2 linked regions of the Oryzias latipes genome follow. The protein of the gene in region 1 interacts with the protein of each later gene in a biochemical or structural test. Links are inferred from orthologs where the notes say so. Each region holds a gene or a part of one and is shown on either strand. Other genes may lie near its edges.

What was found.
Region 2: the proteins of gab1 (region 1) and growth factor receptor-bound protein 2 form a complex in vitro, tested with the Homo sapiens proteins (2 studies listed by BioGRID and IntAct, with this or other methods). The link is inferred for Oryzias latipes from reciprocal best matches to the Homo sapiens genes GAB1 and GRAP2.

What each region holds. Positions count from the first base shown.
Region 1 is NC_019859.2:18,110,746-18,114,568, reverse strand, and holds part of gab1 (GRB2-associated-binding protein 1), read left to right. Parts: intron 1-303; coding exon 304-398; intron 399-1,440; coding exon 1,441-1,741; intron 1,742-3,823. UniProt on the Homo sapiens protein: Adapter protein that plays a role in intracellular signaling cascades triggered by activated receptor-type kinases. Plays a role in FGFR1 signaling. Probably involved in signaling by the epidermal growth factor receptor (EGFR) and the insulin receptor (INSR).
Region 2 is NC_019866.2:2,931,030-2,934,852, forward strand, and holds part of growth factor receptor-bound protein 2, read left to right. Parts: 5' UTR 1-45; coding exon 46-123; intron 124-201; coding exon 202-293; intron 294-409; coding exon 410-529; intron 530-1,575; coding exon 1,576-1,762; intron 1,763-3,823. UniProt on the Homo sapiens protein: Interacts with SLP-76 to regulate NF-AT activation. Binds to tyrosine-phosphorylated shc.

The sequences.
Region 1 (3,823 bases):
TTTGATTGATTTACATTTGAGACTTGTTTGTTTTTCTTCTTTCCAATAATTTACAATTTATGCTTGATAAACCGTGTGCACTTGCACAGTACTTTATGTCCTTTGGACATGGTTTCTCTTAATGTTTTAGTTTACATTCAGATCAACACCTAAAAATGAAAACATGGCGGTGAGGCACAACAGCAATATTTTTTGAAAATTTCGTATTTTTCCCATCAAATCACATTTTGACTGAGCACTGTGCTGTTCCAGTAAGACATTTGCTGCAAATATTTAATACTTTGTTTGGTTTTGTTTCTGCAGATTTTGGATCCCAGGACTTCTATGACATTCCTAGACCATTCCCCACAGATAAAAGCTATTCATTTGACTTCAACGAAAACCTCAAATGCTATTTTGTAAGTGTTGCAACCAAAGTTACAGGTGGATGTTTTTTTTTTTAACCTTATAATAATGGCTGCTAGTAAGCCTGTGTTGATGACTGAACATTTCTAGAAACGGAATGTTTTAAAAATAATTCATTTATTAAAAAGGTTGCCAGATTTTATAATATTAAATTGGTAACATTTTCTTACTACTCCTGTTTTGTAACTATTGACAGTTAAATAAGTATTTGAGCTGAAGAAAACAAGACTACAGATTATAGCAGCATATCAATTGCAAATTGAAATATGCCAAAATAACGACGTAATTCAATTAACCAAAGTAAACAAAGTTGATCCAGCGAAGTATCTTTGCTTTTGGGCTTTGCCCTTTAGGGGTCACCACATTGTGTCGTTATTTTATGATTCATAGCCGTGTAATTTGGAAGTAAAATACACATACAAGACTCATTTGGGATTTATCAAAATCACAAATGGCTTTTGTTGGCAAAATACAAAAGTGTGTATCAGTAGCTGCTTTGTAGAAATGCAGTCTCCAGCATGTTCAGGTTTTCTACTAAGAAGAAAACAAACTGCCTGTTTTTTCAAAAAAGCAAACAAAAAACAGCAGAGTCCAGGACTTCTCACTTCAAGCAACACAAAGAGCATTGAGAGGATAGTCTGTACTATCTTCACCAAATAATGATGTGAAGCAACAGCAGAGACTGCAGAAATATTAAACTTCTCATAAACACTATTCCACTCCGTACTGCTGTCAGGCTTTTGAAAGCTTTTTAAGTAGTATCAAGTTACACTAAGGATGAGTCCCGTTCTGTCTCTTAGGAAAGCATCATGCACCCATACTCATTATACGATAGAATGCAGTGACTACAGCTTTGTAAATTATTGATGTTTGAAGTTGTTACCAAAATCCTTTTTCTCAAATTCTATGTTTACATCAATATTCAACCAATATAAAGAGCAGAATATGTGTTAAAAAGTGACTGTTGTACTTCGATCCTTTGCTTGGTTTGTTCTTTTTGAACTAAGAGTGTTTTTTTAATTATGCAATCAACAGAAAAACAAAGGAATGATGCCATTAGGGAGCCATTCTACAGAAGAAGTTGACCAGAACTATGTCCCGATGAGTGCCAATTCCCCATCGCACCATCACTCTGGCAGTTTGCTAGAGACAGCGAATGAAACGAACTATGTACCAATGACCCCAAGCACTGTGGAGTTCCCTTCCCTGGGTAAACAGGTTCCCCCACCCGCTCACATGGGTTTCCGCTTAAGTCCAAAGACCCCCCCTCGCAGGCCAGTGCTCAGTGAGTGCCAGCCACCGCCCGTAGACCGTAATCTAAAGCCAGACCGTAAAGGTGAGTGCTTGCATGGAGGTGTGATGGTGACTCCTTAACACATGTTCTTAGTCTTCTTGCTTCGTGATTGATGTGTGTGCTATAAAACCTCTACTAAGTGTTGACTAATGCTATGGCTAACTATGCTTTCATCTCATACTCACCCACCATCCTCCTGTGCAAGATCAGAACTAAAAAACTATCTTTACAGAGCTTTTTTAAGCCATTAATTTCTGCTCTTGTTGTATTATTGTGTACTAATGGGTCTGTCCTTGGTTTGGGAGTGTTGGAAAAACCACTAATTATGTGTTCATTTCCTAAAGCAAACTGGTAAATTAGTTTACGGTTTGTTAGGCTCTTAGGCTGACAAAGTTTACCCATTAGTCTCAAATCTGCTTCAATGTCTTGTCAGTGTGTTTGGCAGATGAAGATGCCTAGAAACCCCGTTTTGCTCCTAAAACTCCATAACTTCTCACCCGTACACATAGGACAGGCCTTGAATAATCGAGTCGTTGTTACATAAACACACATTTTTGGTCTTTTTACCCTCCTATAGCATTCTGTAAAGCTCCTGACACTGATGATACATCATTATAGTGTTCGTAAATATTTATTTTGAGATTTATTCTGCTAGACCTTTACCTGACCACAGTTCTGATATCCTTGTTTCAATAATCTTAAACTGTAGAAAGATCCTATACCGAAGCACTTTTGATCATAGTGTATTTTCCATGCAAAATGGGACAGTTTATAAACTGTCTTCTCATGCTTATAGACCTTCATTCTGCAGCGTTGGTTTAGTGGCTCATCGCAGAAGTTTAAGGCAAAAGCCTGGCTGCACTACACGACACACACTAGGAACCCTACCCCATTTGGGGACAAATTAGATGTATTGTGTGCTCAGACGACACACTCACGATAAGGTGAATGAAAAGCTGTGTCATCTTACACCCTAACTCTCATCTGTGTGCAAAGCGCTCCGAGAGCAGCACATCCTGCCCTGCGTTCTGTACGTTTTCAAGGAAAATAAGAGATTGTTTTACCAAAAGAGATCAGAGTAGTGGTTTATACTAGGATTTTCTGGTTAATTTAAGTGTGCAACGAAATTCTGCACGGCATAAACCGTGTCTTGTAACTTCAGAATGAACACCGCCTATAGGGATATGGAATTCACACATGAATTAAGCTGGACATAGCTCATATCTGGACTACATGCTGCTTCATTGGTGCAAAGCAGAGTCTGTGATCACTGTTCAGGTTCAGAACTTAGGTACCAAGTCTCAAAAATGTCATTTTTATATATTGCATTAATGACATTCAAAAGATGATTGGTCCTGAAATATGTTAGTACTTTCATTCAGCTCAGAATTATTTTTCAAGCCGTTTATCACTGTGAAAGTGTCATCAACATGTTCCCTGATTGATTGACCGTTTAATAAGATTTATTTCATTCGATACTTTTTTTTTTTTTTTTTATTGCAAAGCCAATTCCACCTAAGTACTAATTTAAAATAAACTTGGAACATGGGAGAAGACTTGTATTTTGGAATTGCATGTTGCAAATAAAAATTTATCAGAATATTTTATTTTTTTAAAATTAGAATTATCATATAAAATAAATAAAAACATTATATATAGTTAAAAAAACTTTCCATTATGAACAGTTACAAAGTTTTGGAACTGAAAATGGTACACTTTTGATTTTAAATTGGTGTGCACTCTAGAGATATACAAAAAATCGCTTGGGATAATAGCCATTATCTATTATTTGTGAAGTTTTTATGTCTGGGGGGGACCTATAGGAGCTTCACATACCCCCCCCCCCCCCCCCCCCCCCAAAAACACACACACACTTTAATTTAATGAAAAAAACACCAAAAGATTGTCTCCATACAAAATAACAAACTTATTTACAATTAATAAATACCAAACCAACAATAACTTAACAGGTAAAGCAGAAAGGCTTCAAGTTGAACAAAGGCCAAAACAACAAACAGAACCCCACCAAACTGAAGTCTGAAATCTTACCTGTGAATGAAAGATAAGAAAAATCAACGACAAAACACTAACCTCCCTAGACTAACAGAAACAGGAGAAAACATG
Region 2 (3,823 bases), on another chromosome or scaffold:
GAAGGACGCGCATGAGCGCTCTGCTCGGCCTCTCCTGACCTCCTGATGGAAGCCCGAGGGAAGTACGAGTTCTCTGCAACGGCGGACGACGAGCTGAGCTTCAGGAAGGGCGACGTCCTGAAGGTTGGTGCTGCTCCGGAGCCGGAGGCCCTCGTCCCAGCTTCTCGGTACCGAACCGGCTCTCTTCTGTGTTTGTGGCAGATTATAAACTTCGAAGAGGAGTGGTGTAAGGCGGAGCTCAACGGACAGGAAGGCTACGTTCCGAAGAACTACCTGGAGATCCAGCTTCCAGCGTAAGAACCGTCCTGTGCTCTCGCGCTGGAACGTGTCGGTTGAAGCTGCAGCAGCAGCAGCAGCAGCAGCCGCCGCCGCCGTTTGCATCAGATAATCTGCAGGCGTCTCCGCTCAGGTGGTTTCAGGAGAACACCAGCCGCAGCGGCGCAGAGGAGATCCTGAGGCACAGAGACGTGGGAGACTTTGTGATCCGAGGCTGCCAGACTTCTCCAGGAGACTTCTCCATCTCTGTCAAGTAGGTGGCGCCGCTGGGCTGAAGGAGCGTTCAGGAACGAGCTGACGGTCGAGTGAGTCTGAGACCCACCGCCGGAAAAAAGTGCAGAACTGAAGGTCTCAGGACAAACACGACTAACGAATGATTCAAACCTCTTTCTTTAGGCTGGATTTCCTCAGTTTCCTTTTAAAAATCACACAAACTAAAAAAAAAATGTAGAAATTTATTGAGGATTTATGATTCTTCGTTTGAATCAAAACAAAAAAACTTTTGAGCCGTTTTTTTTATTTTTATTTTGAGCGATATCTTCATTTATTGTCAAACTTTGTTTTTTACTAAAAAAATTATAGACAGTAAGGGATTTTTGTTGTTTATCAGTGACCGATGTGATTAAAATAGTTAATAAAGTGTTGAATTTTCCCGTCTGACCTTTGAGGAGTCACTGAATGAGCGTAGGGTCCATAAAATAAGATTTTTTTCTCTCTTCACACCTCCATTAGGAGGTTTAATGTTTGTTTACATCTGTTTTGATGCAAACACTTCTCCTGTTTGGCTCATTTGCTGTCAGACGTTTAGTCGGTTTAAGGTTTGGTCTCAAAAACATTTTTTTAATCACCCTTTATTCTCAGGAGTTTCTGCTCTTTAAGTTTGTAGTTTATAAATGGAAGAGATGGACGTAAAACAAAAGAATAAATGAGAAAAAAGTCAGCGTGACGTGTCTCTACCTTCAGATTTTCAAAGTAAGTCAGTAAATCAAAATGATAAACAAAGAATTTCAGAGTAAAAGCCTTCACACTCGAATGTGGATCATGAAGTGTGTGGACGGACGGCGAGGGTTTGAATCCATGTCCACGCTGCAGACGTTAGCCACATTATCTCAGAGAGGTGGAGAAGTTCTCCTCCAACAGGAAAAGCTTAAAGGTATTTCTGAAAATGCTTTTAAAAAAGCAAAACAAAAATCTGAGGTCTGCTTGCTTCTTCTGGTGAATTTTTAGCCCCGCCCCCAAGTCTCCAGGGTGGTTTTTTTTTCTTTCTCTACGCTAATGCGCGTCTCCGCCTCCGCTCAGGCATGAGAGCGACGTGCAGCACTTCAAAGTCATGAGGGACAACAAGGGCCAGTACTTCCTGTGGTCGGAGAAGTTCATGTCCCTGAACAAGCTGGTGGAGTTTTACAAAACCACGTCCATCTCCAAGACCAGGAAGATCTGCCTGAAGGACGGCAGCTCCAACAGCCGGAGCCCCGCCTCCGCACAGGTACACGCCACCTGCTTTCCTAATGATGCGTGCGCAATAAATGGTCAATTTAAGAGGTTTTAGATGGATGCAGGGAAGACGTTTCCATAGCAACCAGGCAGCTTTTCCAATCATAGATTGACTCAACTTTCCTTCAACACAGTTTAGTTTCAGAATAAAGTGAAGAAAAATTTTAACTCCACGTCTGCGTGTGTTACCTAAATGATTTTCAAAATAAAATATCAAAACTCTAAAGAAAGACAAAGATTTAGATTTTAGAGCCTTTTCCTTTCAGTTTCTCTCTTTTCATTTCAAGTTCTATTTAAGAAGACTTCTGTTTGGTTTGTTTTTATCGTTATTTTAAATAAAACTGCACTAAATGTACACAAATCACAGCCTGCAGACCTTTATTGCCCACTATAAGCACAAAGAGAATTGAGTCAAGATCATAAATAGTTGTTTTTGCTTCTTAGAAAAGATTTTCTTTCGTCAGTTTCCACGTCCACAATGAGATAAAATAATAAAAAAATAATAAAAAATAATGAAAAAAGTGTGCCTAAAACAAACTAGGAGATGAGAAAAACAGCAATAAAAACAAAATAAATATAAAGCAATAAAAGTTTTTGTGACTCTGTAAATATATGTTCTCTATAAAGATAAAGAATAATTCGTTTTTTAGCAGGTATGTTAAATTCAGTGAAATTATATTATCAATATTTTTAGCCATTTGTTTACATAAATATCTACAAAAACATTATTTGCATGAGGGGGTTGTGTAAAAAAAAGATACCAAAAACCAGAAGTGAAAATACTGTGTTAATGAGAACATGAAAGTGGAGGAGGAGGAAGAGGAGGAGGAGGAAGAGGAGGAGGAGGAGGACTGTGTGCCAAAAGACACTTGATGAAAACCACAAAATCAAACAGAAACTGCCGTCATTTCTAGATATTATTCAGTGTCGCTTCTGTTTCTGCTGCACGGTGGCGCAGTGGTTAGCGCTCTTGCCTCACAGCAAGAAGGCCCCTGGTTCAAGTCCCGGCTGGGGGACATGAAAAACACTACATCAATGGGGGACCTTTCTGTGTGGAGTTTGCATGTTCTCCCCGTGTATGCGTGGGTTTTCTCCGGGATCTCCGGCTTCCTCCCACTGTCCAAAAACATGCTTCATAGGTGAATTGGCAACTCTAAATGGTCCATAGGTGTGAGTGTGAGAGTGCATGGGTGTGTGATTGTGGACCTTCTACCCTGCGACAGACTGGCGACCTGTCAAGGGCATCCCCTGCCTACGCCCAAGTAGCCGGGATAGACTCCAGCAGCCCCGCGACCCCGAAAGGGACAAAGTGGTACAAAAAATGGATGGATGGGCTTCTGTTTCAGGAGCCTGCCTTCTTTTAAAGTCCACAGCTTTTAATTTGAAAATCTAAAACTGGTAAACATGCAGTTTGTATTTAAAAAAAATCACTTTTTTATTTTTATCATAAAATTAAAATAATGATGTCTTTATCATGTATTTTCTTTTGGTTGTCTTTTTCTAAATCTCAGATAAAAGTTTAGACGTCAAATTCACTTCTAGACGTTCGTTTTTCTGTAGAAACGGGGGGGAATTTCATTTGAAAGTGGGTCAAAAAGGAGATTTAAAATATTTCTAGTTTCTGTTTGAAGCAGAAGTTCAGAAGCGTTTCCAGAGGCACACAAACACACATACACACACAGCTTTAACATGCTGAGGTTCGAGTAGCCTGAAGAGATGGTTCAGAAGTTCAGGCAGATGGAGTTCAGGGAATAAAATGAGGAGCGTGAGGAGGCGACGAGCATCAGGAGGCTCTCTCCTCCTGAAAATGGCAGCTCCTCTTGAAGGGCTTCAGGGTCACAGGTCGCGTCATCTCTAGACCAAATCAAAGCTTGGTTTAGTTGAAAAAACTGGTGTCATCTGCATATATTTGTTATTTTACATTTATCTAATGTGTAGAAAAGTAAAATGTTCTAAAGCTTCGAGGGTTTGAGTTGATTTGGTTCCTGTTAACAGAAGAAAAAGACAGAATTCATATCAACGGCTGACGTCTTGATGTCTTCATCGCTGTTTT